Linked DNA regions of Schizosaccharomyces pombe. The protein of the gene in region 1 interacts with the protein of each later gene in a pairwise test. Each region holds a gene or a part of one and is shown in the gene's direction. Other genes may lie near its edges. The genes, in order: snz1 and mei3.

Region 1 (7,578 bases):
AACGTGAACGACTATCACTAGGCCTAGAAGAATGTAATGCTGGATGTTTCTTGCTCAAATCTTCTGTTGAATTATTGATTGCAGATTTTATATCTCCCTTATCGCCACGTTGTGGTTCCTGATCCCTTAAAGGAGGATTACTTTGATTATTGGAGGGTTCTGCGTTCGTTGACTGTGGAGCAACTTGACCAGGCTTCCTTCGGGGAATTCGATAAGCTATCTCCAAAGATTCCCATTCTTTTAAAAGAGTTTTGGCATGATCTTTGACCTCCTCGTTCTCATGGTCGCAAAACTCTTGAACAACGGGCTCAATATTTGAATCTTGGATTTTATTTCTTGTTAGGCGTGGCCAAGATAACATGGTTTTTATAGAACGTAGTATAAACTCAATATCAATGCTGAACTTCTTCAGCATCAAACCAAAAATGTTGTAACCACGTAACGCAATGATCGAACGGCATACACTAGGATCTGAAGTCAAGAAAATGCGTTCCATTAACTTTCTTGTTAATAAGTCATCCTTAGTTTGCAGGAGAACGCCAATCACTTTAGTAGCAGACTCAGATGTCAGAGGAGTAGGTTGCACCTCTTCAATAATTTTGCTAGTTTCGTCAATTCCCTTTTTACGACGTTGTCGACGTGCAGTGATGTTTTCCCAGCTATCCTCTTCATCTTCAATACCAAGAGCCTCTCGGACATTCTCAGGTAGTTTCGATTGAGCCTCAGTTTGCGTCTTTCCGCCAATATACCCTACACAGCAAGGTTCTCCGCAATAACAAGGTTGGGCTTGTGCACCATATCTATCGACATTATAGTCAAAAGTAAGCTCTTCACCGCGAATAATATCTCTTTTACAAAATATACCCATTCTTAGCTTATCTCCTACCATCCATTTATCAACATAACAATTAGGTCTACAAGAGTGATTGCAAAATCTTGCGAGCGACCCCCTTTTAGTAGCATCAATATATTCCCCCTTTTGCAGCATCATGAAGTAAAAGTGTTTAATTCCCTCACTATCGTATTGTCGCATACGTTTACGAAACTTTTGTTCAGGTATAACTTCTCCAATGTATTCGTAGACAAATGTGTCTTTGGGTAAATTGGCATCAGCGCGCAAACCAAACCCTTTCTTTTCGGTTAAGAAAACATCCACCTTTGCAAATTCATGTCTTTGAAAGCGTTGGTTTTGACAGGATGGTCCACAAACGTTATCTTCGTCCGTACACTCTATAGAAGTCATTCTATTAATACAATTGGATCCGTGCCCACAAGCAACATTAACTCCATCTACCCAATGAGGCCGACAATCGCAAATCATAGCTTCGTTTTCTGGAGGCTTACCAATATTGGCGGAAGCATACTGACATTCTTGAATCTCTTCGAACGTAGTTAGCGCCTTATCTTTCGCAGAATCCAGGTGATGAAAAAGTTGAGGAGGAAGTGCCTCTTTTCTAACATATTTGCTTTGAGACCGAGAGGATGCAGACGATGGCGAGGACGTAGAAGGGGAAGGAGCACTTTCGTCTTTATTCATCCCTTCGGCATCCTCTTTACTTTCGAAATCATGAGATGACGAAGAAGATGGTGATGAACCGACTGCCTGGACAGCGATTGTGTCTTTTGACCAAGAAGACTTCCTATCAACGTTTTCCTCATTCAAAGGAGTTAAAACAGAAAGAGATGATGCCGTCTGCATTGTATGATAATGGACAAAAAGAAAGAGAAAGTTAAAAAATCTACAGTTTTATTGAACAAAAAGTAATTGCCGAAGGAAGCCAAAACAATAGAAAGAAGACCAGCTGAAATTTCACCGAAAATCTTCTTTTTAGAAAATTTCCGAAAATATCTCGATGCGTAACATATAGATCTTCTAACGTTTCAAAGTTTCGTGTCAAAGAAACAGTGAGATCAGGAAATTGTCTCAAGGAAGAAGTTGTGGCTGTTGGCGGCGTTCCTTCTTTACTCGCGGAATCCTCGTAGGGGCTCACAGTACCGGAGTGTAAACGACAACTCTTGACTTTAGTGTTAAATATTAAAGAAACCTATTAAAAGAAAAGGCTTTAAAATCTTTACTTTCATTTCATTCAAGCATCTACAAAAAATCACCATCACGCGCAACATTTGAATGCCATTCTTTTCCAGAAATTCCATAATAGTTGTTGAAGAAATAACACTGTTAGTGTAATAAAATTCACTCTGTTTTTTACACTCGGCGCCTTATGTAGCGAATATCTTTGAATTAATAATATCAATCATACTATGTAACTGTAGTAGGTTGTTTATCCAAAAAACATATGGTACGCAAAGATAGACACTAATTATCAACAATGAATGAATAAGAAAAGCTTTTTCAACGAATATTTTGAGTGAGGCAGTCAGCGTGCTCATACTGGATAGACCCAGAACAAGTAAGTTTACAATATGTTCAATTTACAAATCCAAGCATGTGGTATTGAATTATATTTGGTATTCTTTTTGTTCCCTTGGTCTTATTAATGTAAAATCATCATCTACCTGCATCTATTGAAGCAGTAATTAAACAGAAGTTTGAGAATCGGTAAAGAAAGAAACTAGGAATGTATGTAATAAAGTCATTTTATTTTGAAAATGCTCATCCTGTTAATTCTAGGTAGATTCTTTATTTCTTCAAACCCAACCACTTTTGTTAATATTGTTTAAACACATAATATATACATTGGCGAAATTGAAATAATGCTAAAATTTTGTCAGAGCATTAGTCATTGTTAATTTTAAAAAGCTATTAAACAAAAATAAAGGCTAAGAAAAAAAGATAAACCTATTCCATATGTTTATATATGTGTATCTTATCTTAAAAGGTCTTTAACTCAAGCTATACTTACTACAATCTATATGCAGCTACTTGTCCTTCATGGCACGACGGTGCCAGTAAAGTTAATAAGAAAACCATACCGAACAGGGGCCAAGTTACGATGAGACAACATGTGAAGAACAAAGGAAGAAGCGATTTCAAGCTTTGCAAAAGGTTTGACCAAATTTAACGAACAAACGTTTCAGCTGTTACCTTGAAAGCAGTTGGCAATAAAAGAGAAAGCGAATTTAATTGCTTTAAATGTTTTACTTTAACTCTTAGATATAAAGAGTGCGGAAAAAGTGGCAGAACCACAAGAAAACAAGATCTCAATCGCAAAAGCAATAAAACTGCAATTCCAAATTTTGTAGATTTTCTACCATTTATGAATAACGTGGGTTAGTGAAATGTAAAGAGATCCGTGTTCGATAGGCATTCCCCAGACAAATTTGACTGCTTTAAACGTCACAAAGCCGAGTAGCAAACGCTCCCACAACCAAACACTACACAAAGGTTCGTCGACAATTTATTTTGGAAAAAATGCACAGCAGCAAGCGAGTTATGACCACAAAGACTCATGTTGAGCAGCCTGAGTCTTCAATGCGTCCTCAGCTTCCCGAAAGCATTCAAGGCTCCTTAATGGACGTGGGAATGCGGGTTCGTAAATCAATTTCCACCGGATACAAGTCGAAACAAACCACGTTTCCTGCCTATAACCCACCGCTTTACAACACTGTTTCTGAAAACATTGCTTTAAAAAATACCGCATTTTCTTATGAGCCTAACGGTACTAAGCGTCCATTCGAGCAAGCAATTCCTAATTATAACTGGGCCAATCCTCCTCAAGACTTTGAAGAACCGGAATGGTTGAAGCCGTTTGACGTTGTCATGGAGGGTACCAATGAGAGATTATAAGCTAAATGTGAATCTCGTATATCTCTTCTTTAAGGATAATTTGACACCAATCCTCATAGTTCCAATTATTCCTTCGTTCATTAGTCTTTGACTTTGTTGATTCCCTATACCATTAATACATTTTATTATTGGTTTTGTGAGTGACGGCTAAGTGATTTTCTACTAATTAAACCCCCTCTTCTTTTGGGCATTTGTCTCTCCTTGTTAATTAAACTCTTTACATCTATGAATGATCTAGTCATATCTTTTTTTATTTTATCTTATTTGCTTATCGTTTTCTGCTTGACCAACTTATAATGGATTACTTTGTTGTCGTTGAATATCTGAATAGTAATTTTTTTCTAATACGTACATAATTTTTTGAAAGACTCATTCCTCGTATTTCCTCAGTAAATGTCACTTTTTTGGTGTACATGTAGATCGACCAAAGTAACCTGTTGCGGGCGACTTTTGTAACTTGTTATTTCTACTTTAAATCTTTTTCTTTTATGATGTTAGGGCGTTGGTAGGGGTTGTAACGTAAAAGGAAACAATTTTTGATATTTTCTCTACGGCATGTGAAAAGTATTACCCAACATGCCACGGAATTCTACGCTGTTTCAGTAATAAAATTTTATTATTATTATTATTATTATTTTTTTTTTGAAAAGATGTAATAAAATGCTTATATTTATAGATTACAAAGAGACAGTAATAACGTTACTCAGCTAACTAAAAAAGTGCAAACTAAACAGCGAATATGGCAAAAAACAGTCATATTTAAAAAAAAAATAATAATTTGAGAGGGAAAAATGGAATAATTTATTTAAAAACAAAAGATACCATAAAATCAATTAATCTACACATAAAATTTACAACTAGGATGTTATTTTGATAAAGTTTGTTGTAAATTTTTTGGTACTTCTACTCATCCGCTATTAGCTTGAAAAACAAAAGTAATTACTACCGCTTTATGGCCAACTAGTTTCATAGGGAGGATGACTGCATACAAAAACGCTGAAACCCTTTCAAATGAGTCTATAAGACAGCAGTGGAAAACGAGTATTTCAGTTTTTAGGTACATTGCAGTGTTATAAATAATATGTGTTTCTTTTCAGATTTTTTTTACTAGTCAGTTATTGTTATACCAATCAATTCCTGGTATGTTTATATTAAACAACAAACAGGACACGAGGAGTCCTTGAAGTATTACTACATTTCCAGTTCAACGATCTTGTTTCAAGGTAAACAATGTTAAACATTACTGCATAACAAAAATCTAATGACAATTGAAGCAGCGTATATAAAGCGATGCATAAAGCCCTTGTTAGGAAAGGCTCTACTTGCGGCTTCTTAATTAGTATTGATAAAATCTATTTCCATGGACATGCAAATATCTCGCAAGATGGATACATCGATCATTCTTCGGCGACTTGGATACCTCAGTCCCCACAAAATAAGATAAAGAATATTGGGTGTCGGTAGTCAGTATCCTAATCCATCAAAAAATTACGGACATTGCAGACGCTGATCGGTAACATACCAAGAAATTATCTGGTAGAACGCTTATATCCATATTTCCGATGCAATCGGTTCACGCCTGTTACCATTGATCGCTAAAAAATGTATGCAACTTTCCATAAAGGTAGTAAAGACATGACTTATACGCCGGATATATGATGAGCAATTTCATTTAGTAATTCTTTATTGTTTTGTACGTTTTAAAAGTATGACGAAGCATCTCAAAAGTATGAATTGTCGGATAATTGCAGCATGTAAATAAATAGGAGGATTCTTTTATTAAAGTCGACTTTAGGAGAGAAACAGTTTTTGTGCTTTCCCTCCAAGCATAACAATTTGACGTTAGGTTTAGCAGGTCGTTTAGATAAAGAAAGACATCCGCCTCTTTGTAAATCGCTTCAACATCAATTGTAAGTTGCTTACATCTTCTACGCGCCTCCACTGTATACTTATCGGGATCAATCAAATGGTTTCGGACATTTACTTCCTAAAGTAGTGTATGCTACGCTTCGTTATATTACATCTTGGTAAGCATGAAAATGTATATAAGGCGAGTGTTGTTTGCTATTCGATTAATTTCTTCCATCATCACAGTCACATTTTGTGTGTTGACATAAAAACTTGGTCAGGTTCTGAGTTTCGAAAGGTTCATTTTTTTGATTTTTAGGTGTTTTCTTTAAAGGATCCTTGTATCTCATTTGTCTAAAGGCAAAGACCATTATATCTATAGAAAAATCATTGTTGCATTTTCGTTTTACCACTTTATACATCCTATTGTTTGCTTGGAAAAAGTAAATTTTAATTAATCGCATCTACTTAATCATGTCTGCCGAAATTAAGGGATCTACTCAAGTCAAGGCTGGTCTTGCTCAAATGCTCAAGGGTGGCGTTATCATGGATGTCGTGAATGCAGAGCAAGCTCGTATTGCTGAAGCTGCTGGTGCTTGCGCTGTCATGGCATTGGAGCGTGTTCCTGCCGATATTCGTGCTCAGGGCGGTGTTGCTCGTATGTCCGATCCCTCTATGATCAAGGAAATTCAAGCTGCTGTCTCAATTCCTGTCATGGCTAAGGTTCGTATTGGACACTTCGTCGAGGCTCAAATTTTGGAAAGCATTGGTGTTGACTATATTGATGAGTCTGAAGTTTTAACGCCTGCTGATGATATCAACCATATCGAGAAATCCAAGTTCACTGTTCCATTTGTTTGTGGCAGCCGTAACTTGGGTGAAGCTCTGCGCCGTATTTCCGAGGGTGCTGCCATGATTCGTACCAAGGGTGAGGCCGGTACTGGTGATGTTGTGGAGGCTGTCCGCCACACTCGCCAAATGCAAGGTGAACTTCGTCGTGTGAAGTCTATGTCTCCCGATGAGTTGTACACCTATGCCAAGGAGATTGCCGCCCCCATTGATTTGGTTAAGGAGTGTGCTCAATTAGGCCGTTTGCCTGTTGTCAACTTTGCTGCTGGTGGTGTTGCCACTCCTGCTGATGCTGCTCTCATGATGCAACTTGGCTGTGATGGTGTTTTTGTAGGATCTGGCATCTTCTTGTCTGGTGACCCGGCCAAGCGTGCTCGTGCCATTGTTCGTGCCGTTACTCACTATAACGATCCTAAGATTTTAGCTGAAGTTAGTGAGAACTTGGGCGCCGCCATGGTTGGTCGCAGCGTTAGCTCTTTGGAGGAGAAGGAAAAATTGGCTACTCGCGGGTGGTAAATATTAGAGAAGGATTTATATTCTCCGTAATGCAGATGTCATTTAATGTTTAATTTTATCTGTTGATATTATTTTTACTCACTAAATAAAAAGTTTTTTTTTGTTTCATTTTGATTTAATCTCCTAGTAACTTTGAATTCATCATTGTATTAAGTGTTAGCTTAGTCTGGAATTTATGACTAAAGTCGTAAATGTTTGTAAGTCAGGTCAGATTCAAAACGATGTTTGATTCAGTGCGTTATAATTTCTTTGTGTTTTAGCAAATGAAGTCTTTTTAAATGTCAATGAGTCGTCTATCTTTTCTGGTGATTATTACCACTCGATCTTGATGTGCGCCATCCTGTTCAATATTCGCTTGCCAGTTGGTATCATCAAATAATGATTTCACTATTTTAGCTTGATGAGTGCTACCGATTTCAAAAACTATTAAGGATAAAGGTACAAAATCCTTGGCGTTTCTTTGTAACATCCTTTTTATGTACTGACTAAATTTGTAATAAAACTCATTACCTCCGTTTTTAGCTAAAAGAGCCAGCTTGGGCTCGTATTTGCGCACAGAAATGTCGGTTTGTGCAGCAAAATCATCATCAGATATATAAGGAGGATTGCATAGCAAC
Region 2 (17,459 bases), on another chromosome or scaffold:
TTTGCCAAATCACCTTCAACACCTTATTCCTATATACTCTCTTCCGCAAGATTGGCTTTGGTGTGAGACATGGTGCAGTGATGAAAGTTTGAAAACTGCCAAAACAATCGATTTATGTCAAAATCCTTTAACTAAAGAAAAGAAGCTGGATCGCGCACGTAGGCAAGTCTCTGAATGGACTTCATACGATAATGAGATAGCATCCGTATTGCAAACCGCCTCTAGTCAATCAGATAAAGAGTTTGAAGAAAAGGATAACAACTCATCTCCGGACGAACTTTGAAACATACTTTTCTTTTGCTTTCATATTATTTAATTCGTGATTGTACGCCTGAAATTTTATAATCGTTTTTCTAATTTACTTGCGAATTTGCATAAGTTAGAAGAGAAAAGAGTTAAAATCAAAATGTTTTAATGAATTGCTTGAATACTGAGAGTATTGGCTTTAGGGATTAAAAGGGGTCAAAATTAGTATATGTCGTCCGTTTGAAATGAGCTAGTCATGAGTTAATTTTTTCCTCCAATCTTGTTAGGACCATTTTGCTGGTGCATTCTACAAGTTGTATACAACGATTATGGTGCTAAGAAACAACTAATCGTGAGCAATGCTACGTTTATTGAATGTTTGTTGAAGACGCGTATTTTCATTTATTTAACTATTCGATACTATCTTCTACTTTGTTCAAACATTATTCGTCTATTATGCTGTAATAAATATTGCATTCAAAAGTCTTTACTAAATAGAACATTTAATATATTCGTGTTTATAATCATAGGGAGGAAGTATACAGCACAGTGAGTCGTAAGCTTAGGCATATGCCCTCCACTGAACGTAACCACTACCAAGTACCAGTATCAATATGATTGATGATCAGAGAGGTTTGTTATTGATGGGAAAGTTTTTGTATTTATTAACGTTAAAAAGATATGCAGGTTGATTCTGTAAACCAAGAAGAAAATGTTGATTCTGGTGAAACAAAACAGAACACTGTAACTGAAGTTCCAAGAACAGTTTTGCAAGGTGAGTTAATGCGTCAAAATTTATTTATTTCTAACAAGGATCAGATGTGGAAGCAAATATTGCTGCCTTAATGCAAGCCACCAAACAAAGAGATCCCAGACTTGTCTATCGATCATTAAGAACCACATCCAACATTTGCCATAGACTGAATGCGGATGTTTTAGGCCAGTTAATTAAGAAGTATTATTCTTTTGATAATTCTTTAAAAAATGAATTATTGGAACTTATTGATATGCCACAAAATGGTGATGATTCTTCCACTTCTATTACAAATGGAAATGGCAACACAATTTTTCCGGAAGTGGATATGTACTTACAACTGCTTCTTAGCATGACACTTTATTATAATGAAAAATATGAGGTAGGCGCTGAATATATTAAGAAGGTAATCGCCCGTTTGCAATCCTATGATCGACGAACCTTGGATCAAATTGCAGCCAAGTTATATTTCTATTACATACTATTCTTTGAAAAATGTAATAGGTCTGTAGAATGCAGGAACACTCTTTTGTCCGTTCATCGTACTGCATCTTTACGTCACGACTCTGAAACTCAAGCTATGGTTTTGACATTACTTCTTCGGAATTATATTCAGTTTAACCTATATGATCAAGCAGACCGTCTCGTTTCGAAAACATCCTTTCTTACGAATGCTAGTAATAACTTGGCAATTCGCTACCAATACTATTTGGGTCGAATTCGCGCCATTCAACTTGACTACACGACCGCTCATGAACATTTAGTTAGTGCTATACGTAAGGCTCCCAACACAGTATATGCCGTTCAATTTCTGGAAGCTGTTTACAAATTGCACATCGTCGTACAATTGCTTATGGGAGAAATTCCCGAACGCCGCATTTTCCGCCAAAAATCTCTCGAAAAAACTTTAGTGCCTTACTTACGTATTAGCCAGGCAGTTCGTATTGGTGACCTTTGTGCTTTCACTGACGCGCTTTCCAAGTATGAGGCTGAATTTCGCTTCGATGGATTGTATACTTTGATATGCCGCCTTCGCCATACCGTCATTAAGACTGGATTGAGGATGATCTCCTTATCTTATTCCCGTATTTCCCTTCGTGATGTTTGTATAAAGCTTGGTTTGGACAGTGAAGAGAGTGCCGAGTACATTGTTGCTAAGGGCATCCGTGATGGAGTTATTGATGCAAGTATCGATCATAGTAATGCCTTTATGGCTAGTAACGAAGCCATGGATATTTATTCCACCGAGCAGCCTCAACAAGCTTTTCATGAACGTATTCAGTTTTGTCTTGCCCTTCATAATGACAGCATAAAAAGTATGCGATATCCCATGGATGCTCACAAAAGTGAACTCGAAGGTGTGGAAGAGGCACGTAGGCGTATGGATAAAGAAATGGCTGAGGCAGATTTAGATGACGATGAGCCTGATTTGGGCGAATTTTAAAAAACTTATGGAAAGTTTATAGATCTTAAAATATACTTTCAAAGTTGTTCAGTTGTATGTTTCTTTAATGTCTATGAAAACTATATGTAGTTTACAGATTGAAATATTTAGTGAGTTTGCGAAGCTGTAACAGAAGGAAAGTTGTTGAAAAACAGTTTTCGATCGGTGCTACAACGCTACAAATGCGTTTGTTGTTTAAACTGAGACTTGGTCTTTGCACATTGTAATAAATGAGTAATACGCTAAAAACACAGGGGTTTGGAGAATGGTCGTGTGCTTTATTTTCAAATTTGTTGTTTTATATTTCGTATATAATACACGTATGCAAACACATTTATGGTTATGCTGTGAAGCAATACAGATTTGATCTTGGATTATGGTTCCAATCAAAGGTATACTTTAGTCTTTTTAATTATAAATGGCGAAATGGGCAAAAAATTTTTGTGCAAATTTATTTTTTGTTATGCATAACTAGAGCAAATAAAGCAATGCTATAAAATGGCTTCCGGCAGAAAATAATAACCACAGTGGATATAAGCTAGTTTTCTAACGTGACTTAAGTAACACTTTATAAAACCAAAGCTATACATTAGTCTCTCCCATTACCACTTTGTCAATTTTAGCTAAGTTAGTAGATATGATCAACACTATATATTTAAAGTGGAACGGCAAGCTCATTTTTTACGTTATAGTAATTTAACAATTTTGTCGATATTTTGAGCAATGGTGTATTCTGCTGTGGTCGCTACGGCGCATATCATCAAATATCGCCTGTCCGGTTTCTCTATTCGCTAAATACGGGAAGATACTGATATAGTCTATATTGTATTTCACAAGTAAAATAGTTTCTGAGTTAGCCATCATGTCGTCAGTTAAACTGATCCTCGTTCTTCAGTTCACTTACAAGCTCTTTTATTGATAAATCGTTATAATACCGCCCCCATAATATAATATCTGTAATTCTCTTTAATTTTGCCCTATTTGTAATACAATAGTATGCTGGATCCCGAAAAAATTTATCGTAACGTAGCGTATCCTTAAAAGGATAACAAACTGTTTAGCGGGTATTTTGCAGGTACAAAGCAAGTTGCGCCATCCTGAAAAATTGCTTACTCAGACAAAGTCGAACTCGTGTGATTTAGTGCATCCATCGGTTATATGTTATTTCTACCTCCGTCCACGTTCTTCCACGAGCAAACTACTGACTTTGTAAAATCGCAAAAGCAAACCAGTAACGATGGCTTTGAAAAGAATTAACCGTGAATTAGCTGATCTTGGAAAAGACCCACCGTCTTCTTGTTCCGCCGGCCCTGTTGGCGATGATTTATTCCATTGGCAAGCTACAATCATGGGTCCTGTAAGTCGCGGCTGTAATAGTGCCTTGCGCACTGCCAAAATTTTGCTTGCTAGGATTGTGCAGCTAACATGATATATAGGCTGACAGCCCTTATGCGGGTGGTGTCTTCTTCTTGTCCATTCATTTCCCTACGGACTACCCATTCAAGCCACCAAAGGTATGTAACTATTTAGTCTTGTGTAGATTATGTAAATACGCATTGTAAGCTTGTGAATCGGAGGAGGAAGTTTGTTATATACAATATGAATTGAAGAGTTGATTGCATCTTGTTTTTCTGGAAAAATCGGTATGGTTGACAGTGATGCAAAATTTTTTAAGTGTTATGGTGAAAGAGTATACGCAGAAGTTTTTTTATAATTGTTTACTCTTACCTTTTATCTTCATTTCTTTATGTTTTACCAGCGGAACTTTATCGATTTTTATACGATTGCGTCCATCCAAGTGAAGCGAGGGCAATTACATTGCGTAGCATTACGAATCTGATTGATAGTCTTTTTTTTTTAATGATAACTAACAGCATATTCGTAGGTAAACTTTACAACCAGAATCTATCATCCCAACATCAATTCAAACGGTAGCATTTGTTTGGATATCCTTCGTGACCAATGGTCTCCAGCGTTGACTATATCAAAGGTATTACTGTCTATCTGCTCATTGTTGACAGATCCTAATCCTGATGATCCGCTTGTGCCTGAAATTGCGCACGTCTACAAAACTGACAGATCCCGTTATGAATTAAGTGCTCGTGAATGGACTAGAAAATACGCAATCTAGAGTTTGTTTCTGTGTTGATATTAAATATTCATCTCTTTTGCGAATTGTTTTCTCCAATGTATTGTATAGTTTTTTTTTTTTTTTTTTGGTTTTGGTTTTTTAAATAAATAGTAGGGGATGGCGATAATGTAGCTAGTAAAGTTGCATCGTAAAATTGAGGATACAAGCTGCCTTTAAAACAAACTGTATTATGTTCGAGGATAAAGTATGATTTGATTTAGATAATTTTTATGATTTTTTGAATAGTACAAAATTTTTCTTTGTGTTTAATAAGACCGAATGGGTCCAGTTGGATTATTCCAAGAGCGTTTGTGCATATATTTTTAAAAAGGTACGTAAACACTGCCGATTAAGTGAAATATTGTGCAAGTAAAAGTAGAATAACACGAATGGAAAGTCGTGTTACGAAGAGAGTAAACGGCTCTACGTCTTTAAGGTTTTGCTAAAAATATTTATTAAACAAAACTAAGTAATAAACAAATTCCTTGTAGCGCCTTTTTGCTGAAAAGAAAATGATAATACTTGACATGCAATACGAAGTGATACTGCTATAGACACAACTCATAATAGCCAGTCAATTCAACTCCTAGTTTTGTATTTGTCTTTACAACGTCGTCTATTGAGCTATTTTATGCTGTGATGTTGAGTATAAATCAACGAAAATTTTGATTTCATTATTACTGAGATATATATTTTGTAAGAGCTTTTTTTTTAACCCTCTCACTCTTCTTTACTCATGGAATATTTACTTTTATGAAAACGCTTCTCGTATCCTGTAACATAAAAGAAAAATAAAAATTTATTAAATTAACTGTTATATATTATTTATTTTGCTTAGAGAATATACATGGCCCCTTAACTCAGTTGGTAGAGTGTGAGATTCCAAATCTCAAAGTCAAGTGTTCAAGTCACTTAGGGGTCATTTTTTTAAAATCAAGAAACTTGATAAATCATAAGCTTGTTTAAGTTGAAGTTTTAGTAGGTAAAGGAAAGTTGAAAGAAATGTAAAATGAAATGTTTTCTTAAACATAAAAAATAACCAGTTGATCGGAACCAATTTGAGTTTGTAGCGAAATACCATGTTTTTGAGTTGCAAACGCATAAAAACTTGACGGTGTGGATCGAATTTAGCGAATTAAAATCATGTACTTCATAACAATAATAATAGTTTAACAATAGGAGAAAGAGCTGAACAATTATAAATAAATTTATGCAGTACATACAGATGAATCTGATGTTTCTAGATCCGGTACATTTGCACTCGAAATGTTTATCACATAACGAACAATATCGATTATTCAATACAGTCTGTTATTAAACTATAACGATACGTTGTAATTGCGTTGATGTTTCACCCAAAATCAAATAGTGTAAAATCATATACTTGCGGATCTATGTTTACAGAAACACTGTTTTGTTTCAATATATTTCACAATTCCTTCAGTGCAACGCAGTGTAGTCTGCTATTCTGTTGCCTCAAAGTCCAAAGTTTCCATATGGCGCAAAGTATAAAGGTACTGCTGTAACATAAGGGTCTTGACTCACCGAGCCTCGGTCTCTAGATGTGCTAGATGTCCTATGATACGGTGGGTAGTTTGTAAAGATGCGTGGCGTAGTGACAACATACGAGGTGCATCGAATTCAGCAACATTCCATCCCTCGTAACTATATAAAGTGCATGGTATTGCGTATGCAGAGCTGAAAATCAACTTTTAACCAACCTTTCGAAATTTGAAATCATGCCTCATATGGAAGACAACGGTAGTGAAAAGGAACAGCTGTTTCTGCAACACATTCAAAATCTGCCTCAAGAGCGCTTGGATGCGATTCGCGGGCATCCTGAGTTGGTTCTTAAGGAAATCGATGAATTCACGTATCCAGACGGATCTGGAGTGAGAATGTGTATAGGAGATGTTAAAGGTGGATTTATCGTTGGGAAAATTCGTGAACGGAAGCCGAAAATCATGGTTGAGTTAGGCGGCTATTTGGGCTACTCAGCTATTTTGTTTGGAAATGAAATCTCCAAAATTCCTGGTGGTCGTTATTACAGCTTGGAAGTGAATGAGGATTATGCCAAGATTGCTTACGAGTTGGTTAAGTTGGCCGGTCTGGATGAAATAGTCACCATCATGATTGGCAAGGCTTGCGACAGTTTGGTCGAACTGCAACAGAAATTATTGCATAAAGACCTTGGTTTTCAAGCTTTGGACATGGTATTTATCGACCACTGGAAGGACCTTTATGTGCCTGACTTGAGGGTTATTGAATCACTTAATATGATTGCTCCGGGAACCCTTCTAGTGGCCGATAATATTATAACACCTGGTGCTCCTGAATATCATAAATATGTTAATATGAGTCCTGAAGAACGTAGAGGATATCAAGCCAAGGTTCGCAATGTCAATGGATTCGATTTCATCGGCAGATGGGATTTGATATATAAGACTGAAACTAAAGAATTTGAGGGTGTCATTCGCAATAAACACCGCAAAGACGCTGTCGACGTTACGGAGTGTGTTGGCTATGCTAAAAAAGATTAGGTACCAAAGGCATTCCCTAATCTTTTTATAATTGACTTTATGTGGTATCTGATACCTTTTACGATCTTTTGAAGCCCAGTTTATACAGCATACAATCGTGTCTGGGATCCCATTCTTTGCTCGTCCAGATATTGTTTGCTAATGTTATAAATTATAGTTGACAATGAATTGATTTCTCTTTTAATCCCGTTGCTTGATTCTAAAAACGATGTGTAAAATGTCAAGTATAGTATAGTAATTTAAGTTTCCTGTTCACTATTACATTTGGAATGTGCCCATTCTGTTAGATGAACGCATGATCGTCAATAGAGAAGTACTAAAGAAATCGTTAACTTGCATACTATAAATGTGCACTGCTAATTACTCTACTCGCAAATACGAAGAACACCTAGCTGGATATATCTACCTTTCATGCAATGATTGAGCGAGCACGAAAGCAAAGTGGTAAGCTTGCATTGTGGAATGTAGCAATCTCTAAAAACACATTACTGTAATACTGTTTTTTGCGTTATTCAATTCAATGTTGTTTAGCCTGAGTTATTTTTTAAGGAAATCTAACGAATGATATCGAAACTTAACACGAGTTTGATTTGTTTACGCTGCTCTCTAAATGAAAAGCGTGTCGCGCCGCGTAGCATGCCACTTCGCAAGCATTAAAAGCTGGAAATGAAGAGTAGAAAATATAATAGTAGTAGTTCATTTGAAAACATAAAATATACTTGTTTCTTACTTCTCATTTGGTCTTTACTATCATTTTCTAAATTTTGCATTTTCACTTTCTGTACTGTGATTGTATACAAAAAAATAATCTTTTATTTGTTTAATAGTTTTTTTTGTTTCATTTGCAAATATCAAATACTTTACACGAAATTGAAAAACCTCCGTGAGCCATGGGTTTGAAAGAAATGTGCTGCGTTAGTATAAGTATGAGTGCTTAGTCGCTCATTTCTGCATCCATTTTCTTATCCTCTTATTCTTTCTATTATCTAATTCACATCAAACTATATTCTACTTTTACAATCACTTTCTACTTCTAACAATGAGCTCTCAAAACACCTCCAACAGCCGTCACCCAGCAAGCAGCGCTTCTGCTTTACCAAATCGCACCAATACGGCAAGACGCTCAACTTCTCCCAGAACTAGTACTGGAAGCTCCAGTACTAACACTAACACCAAAACTGTTGACCATGCCGGTACCACTTTCATCAGCTCTACAAGCAAACGCGGCCGTTCTACCAAAGCTGGATCGGTACATAGCGTTCCCATGAAACGCACTAAACGTGTTCGCCGAACCCCTGCACAACGCATTGAACATGAAAATAAAGAAAATATTCAGACTGAAAAGGTTTATAGGATTAAGCCTGTCCAAAGAGTTCTTTCTCCCTCAGACCTCACTAACGAACTAACCATCCTGGACCTATTTCATGTTCCTCGACCTAACGAGACTTTTGACATCACCGACCGTGTAAACAACACCTCTCGCTAAGCAACTGCTTAAATTAGCTTAATTTTCTTCGATCCTGAATGACTAATGCCGAAGGGGAATATGAACACCACATAAAAATTGAAAGAAATTCTCTTTCGAGCATTAATTTTTATTAATTAAACCGCTGTTATAGGAAATTTTCATCCTAACTATACAGCTATTATATTTGAACTTGCATACTTATTTTCATGTTTTCCATTTTTACAACAAAAAAGAAAAAAAATTAAAACAAATTTAGTCCTTTCATTCATTCCCCAGTGCTTTCAGACGCTTTTTATAACAATTCTCCCTTGAGTTTCATTTCTGTTCATAGTCTCATTATTCTTTATTGTGTGTTGACTTCTTTTATTTTTAAACAAAGGTTCATTTTTATTGTCGTTCTCTTTTTTTTTTGAAATTCTGCTACTTTCTCTTGGAATCCCCATCAACGTGTTACCGAATTTGATTCATCATTATTCATACATCTTCCATTTTTGTTGGACATTCGCTGTCTCCAGTTTTTACTTTATCTTCCCATTTTAATAATGTGAGTCTTTACATTCATGGGATTTCCACGTCGATTCTTTTTTATTGCTTAATGGAAACGATTCTGACCGGACATCGTAATTAAATCTCTAACAAAGGCTACCTAATTTATACTTCCTCATCCGTTTACTATTTTTTGCTTTAATATACGTTAAGCAATAGAACAATTTACCATAGCATATTAACAAATCTAATACACTGTCATTCGTTCCCTATTAATCATATTTTTGCTTTGTAATTTATTTTTTTTATTATGGAATTAAAATATAAACGGTATGAAAGTCGTAAAAAGAAAAACACTAAAAATAAACAAAAGTCAAGAGACATGCGTATTTAATAGTACGCATCGATAATCATAAAGAATATGCAACAATGTTTGGATATCGAATTCATACACATAAATGAGGTGTCTCAATCTATGAAGAAGCAGCTATGCCGCGGTGTTGCTTTATAAGCATAAAGCATAGTCGAGAAAAAGACAAAAGACCAAAGGAGTAAACATGAACAAGGGAAATGCATTCGCGATATACGGAAATTTCTACTTGGAAATTTCAAAATAAAAAACAACTGCGCACCAACGATAACAAACACAGGTGCTAGTTCAACCACACAGAAAGTTTTACTTATATAAAGGAAGAAAAAAAGCATAGAAAAAGGAAAGAAACGAACTCGCATTTAAAAAATGGAATTGACGAGATCAGCGCCAGCAGTTGCACCAGCACCGAATACAAATGCAGAACCCAAACCACTACCAATCTTCTTGAATGTTGATGAGTGCTTGTGCTCGGTCGGTTGTGCAACCACGATGGGTTGTTGAGGCGCCTGAGGATAGGCTTGGACAGGTGGATATGGTGCTTGCTGAGGTGGATATGCTGTTTGCTGATACTGCATGGGAGGTGCCGAAGAAGATGCTGCTGGGGGATAGTTTTGCTGTGGTGGAGGAGGAGGAGGTTGAGCTTTAACGGCAGAATCTTCCAACAAACGCACATAGTTAGAAGGGAAGATTCCTTCCTTTCCATTCAATTCACCACGCCACCAATCGTTATTGACATGCTCAAGTACAATGATAACTTCGCCAGCATGGAAACCTAAATCACCAGCATCAGGGCCAGGAAAGTCGTACATCGCCAAAACCCGCTCAACGTTCTTATGGGCAGTATTGGGTCCAGGATAGCTGGGAGGAGGGGGAAGCTTCTCGGTAGATGAATTGACACTTGAAGCCTCGCTTTGCTTCTGTGGGGCAGGCACTCCAGGCAGCTTACGAGGTTCCTCGGGTGTCCTCTTTTCTCCAGAGTTTTGAGACAAAGACATTGCTGCTACGGCAGACGCTACCGATCCTGCTCTTTTTTCCACAGAGCTCTTCCGCTTGGGCAAGGGAAGGGGTACTGAGGACTCAACAGGTTGAGCAGCTGGAGCAGTTACAGGACTAGCGGGACCGTCCTGTAAATGGATATTTGCGTGAACCCAATCCAAAGCACTCCTTTCAACTACGCCCTCATCAACAAGGAATTGGAAGTCGTTGTAGATTCCACGAATAACATGATTCAGGTAGTTTTTATGATCCATATTTCTATGGAAATTTATTACTTAACTCTTTAAGATCTCAAATAAAAATTATTTCAGTTAATTCTTATCAATCTTTAAAAGTTTTGCTGATTAGTGGTAATGGCGGAAGGTAGGTTTACAACTACCGCTTGGTGTGTATACCTGGTAGGTATATATATGGAAAAAACATACGAAGATCGTGGCGCCAAAATTCCAATGCTTTCCACCGGGGCTGAAAAACAATGCAATTTTTTTTAAAAAAATCCTTTTATATAGTAAAATGAGAACTTGTGTGCCATAAGTTTTCGTTAGAATTTTTCAAAAAATTGAATTATGTGAGCAAGTTATTAAGTGGAATTATTTTTAACTTAGAACATTTGAACTGTCAAGTTCAATGTATCAGGAAAAAATATTGAAAATTTGAGAAAGAATTTTTTCCTAGGTATGGCTACAAAATATCGAACAATTTGATGAAATAGGAATTTCTAACCATTTGTTATGTCTCAATTAAATTTCGCCGTATGTAGAGCCTTTGCTTTCAGATATTCGTAAAAACATACAAAAAAGCATGGCACTAGCTGTGTTTTCGTATAAATAAAAAAGGTCCTTAGTATAGTTATCCAGACGATATTTTTCAATTTCAAATCTCACTTCAGGTACCTGAAAACATCCCTAAGTAGAAGTAATATTTTTGTATCCTGACTTGAAATCTGGGCTTTTAAAAAAATGATTTTGGTGCTTTAGAATGCTGTGTGAATTGAATTTTCAATCTCTCAACAAATGCGTCTCAGCGCAGTATAATTGGTTTCCAACGGAAATTTATTATTTGTCAAAAATAAAAATAAATCTCACAAGTTGTGTATATTTGACAATTCCAGCAAAGCCGCATAGACGGTATGCATGGTCTTTATTCTTCCAAAAAAAAATATTCAATAATCACATACTATAATATAGCGATTTGAACAAGCTAAGTAACCGTTTGAGTAATGATTCTTTCATTTATAAGTCATTCTGATCCTTGACGAAATTCATATTTTGTGTCTATTTTCATTCGTATTAAAACTTAGATTACATTGAAATTACAGCATTGGAGAAGCGGCTATATGCATATGAACTCTTTAAAGGATTAGCGATAAAATTACGTTTTTTTTGAACGCTAAAATGTTTGCAGTAATTTTGGTGAAATTCTATTTTCAACGTCTTCATTACCACCCAAATACCCATACTGACGTGAAATTGGACTAACTTGGAGAGGCTTATTCTTTGTGAGAAATTGTTTTCTCCGTTTTGTATTTGAAGAGACAGAAAAGATTTTAAATTTTTTTAAAACTTGCTAGTCTTGGTTATACTTTTGTTACTGTTTTAACTTCAGTTTTTTGTCTTGTCCAAATATTACGATTTTTGAATCGATTGTTGGCAATCACTCAAATCAAGTAATGTTTCGAAGGGGTTTAGTTTTCTCTAGGCATTGTCATTACAGCTTGATTCGTCCTCGATTTCCTTTGAATCGTACGTGCCTAGCGCGTTTTGCCGACGGTCGCAAAAATCTAGCTACTGACAATCGAACGCAGACATACCAATCATGGCGTGGAATGATTTCTATAAGAGCATTGCTTCTTGCAGCTGCAACAAGCGTTGGCCTTTATGCTTATTTCCAACATGAAAAGAAAAAAGTGTTGGAGAGGCAAAACGACAAGGTTTTGGCTACCATAGGTCGTCCCCAATTAGGAGGTGCTTTTTCTTTAATTGATCATCATGGAAATCGAGTTACTGATAACGATTTCAAGGGAAAATTTTCCTTAATCTACTTTGGTTTCACCAGATGCCCCGACATTTGCCCCGACGAGCTCGACAAAATGTCAGCAGCTATTGATATTGTAAACAATGTTGTTGGAGACGTGGTTTATCCTATTTTCATAACCTGTGATCCAGCCCGTGATCCTCCGCAAGAAATGGCTGAATACCTTGAAGATTTCAATCCTAAAATCGTTGGTCTCACAGGATCCTATGAAGAAATAAAAGATATTTGTAAAAAATTCCGAGTCTATTTTTCTACCCCTAAGAACATTGACCCTAAAAAGGATGATTATCTGGTTGACCACTCGGTATTCTTCTACTTGATGGATCCAGAGGGTAAGTTCATTGAAGTATTTGGTCGCAACTCTACCTCTGAAGATTTAGCTCGTGCAATCGGTTCTTACTATTTGTCCCGAAAGAAACAGAAATAATTAAATACCTTTAGCCTTTCATGTGTTTTGATTTTATGCTGGGTTACTACTTTTTCCATATTCACTAATTTTTACTTAATACTTTTAAAAACAATTTCCCACTATTTTCTGGCGGTACACAGATTTATTTTCTTTTTCTCTTTGATTCGTAAAAATGATTTTGTTGAATCCTAGCTAGAGAAGCGCTGCGTTCTGGTTTGAAATATTTCGACATAAGGGGAAAACCCCTTTCTGCAAGTTTATTCTTACTGGAAATTTAAAAACGTGTTAATTTATTACTATTTTTAAAATCCGAAAAAATTGAATATTTTGGAAGGTGTTTATGATACTATCTTTTCATATCCAAAAACCCTATGCATTTACCTTTAACGCAAATAAATGAAGAAACTGATTTTACCATTACTCTTATTTAAATCAATTTAAAATATTTAATAAAAACAATTCATTATGTATCTTCATATAATGTACGAAACCCGTGTGCGTTTTACATGTTAAAGTTGTTTAGCTGAAATATCTCATTGGGAAAGTCATCTGCATGCATGCAAAGAACTTTTAGCTTCTCCTCGATATCTATTTAAAAATAAATTTGCTCTTATCTAGTAAAGGTATTCACTATTTTCATTGCTATTTACAATTCATCTATAGTAGATTTAATCTTCAACGATATAAGGATATTTACAAATATTGTTCGTTATACCATTATTGTGATTTTTAAAGGCCCATCTCATCTACGACATTGCCTTAGCCTTTTTACATTTAAGTGATGCCCTGTGCAAGCAACATTTAGGACCTATGGGGATTCAGCTTTCCACTATCCAGACCCCCCAATTCCATGAATTGTTCGAGGAAGAGCTTCCAGAATATCACAATGAAAGAAGGTAAGTCAAAGAATTCTTATTCTCCCAGCAATTCTAACGTTACGAAATTTAGTCTAGGGGATTCACATTTTTTGCGAACGTTTCGCATGCAAGATCGCAAGGGATATGATGTTTTAATCAAAGTATTTGTAAATAAACTTCCGGAAATTTCGTTGTCAAGCATTGTAAATTTGTTGAAGGGTAGGTCATTTGTTTATAGTCTCATTTACGCGAATCGCATCAATTATGGGAATAAAGACTAACTAAAACAACAGAGGAGCAAGAGAATATCTCATATAGAGTGCCAAATGCCGTACCCTATATAAAAACGTTGGTTACGCTTCGCGCTGCCTACCTGGTGCGTCCATACGTGACTCACAATTTGTATGATAGAATTTCTACTAGGCCCTTTCTTGAGTTGACTGAAAAAAAGTGGATAATGTTTCAATTATTAAAGGGAATTTCCGATTGTCATAGACTTGGTGTTTGTCATGGTGATATTAAATCGGAAAACATTTTAATTACTTCTTGGAATTGGGCTTATCTATCGGACTTTAGCTCTTTTAAACCTACTTATTTGCCAGAGGATAATCCTGCTGACTACGGCTATTTTTTTGACACTTCATCTCGAAGAGTCTGTAATATCGCTCCCGAAAGATTTGTTCCTGCATCGCAATTACAACCTGCTCCATTATCGCCTGCAATGGATATTTTTAGTCTTGGATGTGTGTTTGCAGAACTGCTTTTGGAGGAGTCGCCTCTTTTTACGCTTTCTCAGCTTTTTAGCTACAAGGCCCATGGGTCTTACGATTTACAGTCTGTTCTTGAGCAAATCGAGGATAAGAGTACCCAAGTAAGAAATCTTATATAGAATTCATTCTACGTTAGTTTACTAACATAATACTTCTAGAACATGATTCTAAGTATGCTAGACAGAGATCCCAGTCAACGATTGTCGGCTGATGCCTATTTGCAGAAATATCGAGGAACCGTTTTTCCTGCATGCTTTTATGACACTTTGTATGATTACTGTATTGGTTTAGTCGATCCAAGCGGAATTCTTTCTGCCAAGCAGCCTAATGACGCTTGCAGTTTGTATGGTTCTCGAATTGACGACATTTACAGAGATATTATGCCCCCAAATAATAATGACATTTCAAACCTTATGCACACCCCTCATGAATATAATGGAATAGATTCTTATTCTGTACCCCTTTTTACCACACTTGATGAATTTTATAATAAAAACCCTGCTGCCAAGAATTGGTATCTAAGACTGTATAATACTATGCAAGAAAAAAAAGGATTTGAGGATAAAGAGCAAGGTTCCACACCTGCACCTTCTCCTTCAGTCATTGAGGATATTTCATCTATTGAAACGGATGAAAATCATCTTTATGGTGCCGCTGTTCTTCTTCCCATAGTTCTTTCCACTATTAGACACGTGAATACAAGAGAATCTAAGATAAACGCTTTAAGTTTGGTGCAAATTTTATCAAGGAACATCTGCGATGAGTCCAAACTTGATACAGTTTTACCTTTTGTTATGACTTTGCTTCGTGACCAATACGCCGATGTAAGGATTAGTGCGCTTATTACGATTACTCGCCTAGTTAGTAATGTAACCTCTATTGCTCCGATTAATGCATTTCTTTTTCAGGAGTATTTATTTCCTGACCTTCAGCATTTTCTTTTCGATATGAATTCTCGTACTCGAGCAACATATGCATCCTGCCTTCCAATTTTAGCCAAACAAGCTTCCAAATTTTTAAATTTGGCTCAATCATTAAGGAATGCTGGTATTTTATCGTTTCCTGAATCCGAATATGAAAATATAAATCATGGAAAGGCTGAATTGTTATTTGAAACCGGTCGACACGATTTAGTAGTTACTGTAGAAAGGCACGTTTCTACTCTTTTAGCGGACAGCTCTTCTATTGTTCGTAGATCTTTGCTGAATGCTTTGGCTCCGCTTTGTGTTTTTTTCGGTAAAGCAAAGTCTAACGATTTGATTTTGAGCCATCTGATAACTTACTTGAATGACACGGATTGGATGCTTCGTTGTGCATTTTTTGAAAGTATTACCGGTCTATCCATTTTCATCGGTCCAAGGAGTGTAGATGAGTATATACTTCCCTTGATGCTGCAGGCTTTAGTAGATCCTGAGCCAGCTGTCCTTGAGAGTGTCTTGGGATCTTTTTCTGGACTGATCGAATTACACTTATTTGAAAAGCTTGTTGTTGTTGATATCTTACAGCTTGTGCTTCCACTTGTTGCTGTACCTAATGCTTATATTCGAAGAGCTGCCTTGTCTGTTATTTACTCTGCATATCAAAGTTTTGATGATATTGATAGGGACTGTATTGTAACTCCTTTATTAAGACCTTACTTGATGTCCAATTTATGTGATATAAACTCTTTAGAAAAGCTAGATCAATTTATTTTGCCTATGGTATCTGATAGTGTTTGGTCTACTTTGACCCGCTGGTATGAAGAATCCGAAAACTCAAGCTTTTGGAAGTGTGATAAAGATGCGTCTTACTCGTCTCTTGATGTAAGCAATGATTCGCTTTTAGGAAGAACCAAAAATTTGCAAAAGAGAGAAATAATGCACCACGCAGAAGTGTATACTCACAAAAAAATCTCTCTAACTGGCCATGTGATTATAACTTCCACAGAAATGCTAGAGCTTAGTGAAGATGACCAGAAATGGGCTGACATCATTAAAGAAATGGGAGTTGATGTAAAGCACTTATGGGTACTGGCTAATTTGAGAGATTATGTTAAGAAAACGAAAATTAATTTAAATGGAATCAACTATAAACGACAAAGTGGATTACGGGAACTGAATACTTACCCTAATGCTCCCTTGCACATATTACCAGAAACCATTTTTTGGAACCCAGAAAGACCCCCTTCGTCTTCTATCGCCAATGAAACTTTCTTGGACAGAAATTCTTATGCAGAATCCATTCAAACAAGCCGCTCCTATAACGATGACTTAATTGCTCGAGATCCCATTGCATATGTAGGGACGGATATGACTAATGCTTTTGGTACGACCACAAAACCAAAAGACGTTTCACAATCAGATATCAAAGTTGATATTAATAGGGAGTCTAATTCTGATAATGGAGAGACCATTACTGGTACTCATGATGTATACAGACAAACGGACAATCCTGAAATTAAACTACCTTCAGACACTGCTAGCTCCAAGGTTGACACACACAATCCCACAGTCACTCAACCAACGGACGATACCGGTGGGTTGAATTCTTATAATACTGAGAACCCCTTACTCACAAATAATACTTTGGAGCCTTCCTCTGTAGAAGCAATAGTCTCTTCTAAAGATTCTGACAAACATGCTAAAGAATCGAAGGGGAAAAGCCTCGCACCGTTGATCTCTTCTAGGGTTTCAACGAATGATACAACTAATGTTGCCGGTATTCGAAGCCAAAGATCATTTACTACTCATATCGATTTGAAAAAGCTTACCACGAGGCAAAATGGCGCAAAAAAATCATCGTATACTGGAACTAATCCATGCGTCTTAAATTATTTAAATAAAATTTATGCAGAAGCAGCGGCTTCGACACTTAACGTTGGTGCTGCTGTTTCACCAAGCTGGGCTTCTAATATACCTTTGCGTCGTAGAACAAAGGTGTCTGCGAAGGCTGCGAATAAAATAGTTCAGACT

What was found.
Region 2: the proteins of snz1 (region 1) and mei3 interact in a two-hybrid assay, tested with the Schizosaccharomyces pombe proteins (2 studies listed by BioGRID).

What each region holds. Positions count from the first base shown.
Region 1 is NC_003424.3:5,409,116-5,416,693, forward strand, and holds snz1 (pyridoxal 5'-phosphate synthase (glutamine hydrolyzing)), read left to right. Parts: upstream 1-5,822; 5' UTR 5,823-6,070; coding exon 6,071-6,961; 3' UTR 6,962-7,078; downstream 7,079-7,578. Other genes in the region: histone lysine H3-K36 methyltransferase Set2, read right to left, coding at 1-1,699; spd1 (ribonucleotide reductase (RNR) inhibitor), read left to right, coding at 3,374-3,748; mtq1 (S-adenosylmethionine-dependent methyltransferase), read right to left, coding at 7,236-7,578.
Region 2 is NC_003423.3:711,652-729,110, forward strand, and holds mei3 (protein Mei3), read left to right. Parts: upstream 1-8,067; 5' UTR 8,068-8,154; coding exon 8,155-8,601; 3' UTR 8,602-9,339; downstream 9,340-17,459. Other genes in the region: UDP-glucose--glycoprotein glucosyltransferase Gpt1, read left to right, coding at 1-283; 19S proteasome regulatory subunit Rpn3, read left to right, coding at 861-879, 926-1,021, 1,066-2,444; ubiquitin-conjugating enzyme Ubc4, read left to right, coding at 3,682-3,801, 3,881-3,958, 4,330-4,575; cmt1 (catechol O-methyltransferase 1), read left to right, coding at 6,315-7,115; lsb1 (SH3 domain-containing protein), read right to left, coding at 9,802-10,692; copper chaperone Sco1, read left to right, coding at 12,108-12,899; serine/threonine protein kinase Vps15, read left to right, coding at 13,692-13,777, 13,830-13,957, 14,032-14,609, 14,667-17,459. UniProt on the Schizosaccharomyces pombe protein: Acts as a critical meiotic inducer by binding non-covalently to protein kinase ran1/pat1 inhibiting its enzymatic activity. Inhibits ran1/pat1 by acting as a pseudosubstrate for ran1/pat1 instead of its natural substrate ste11.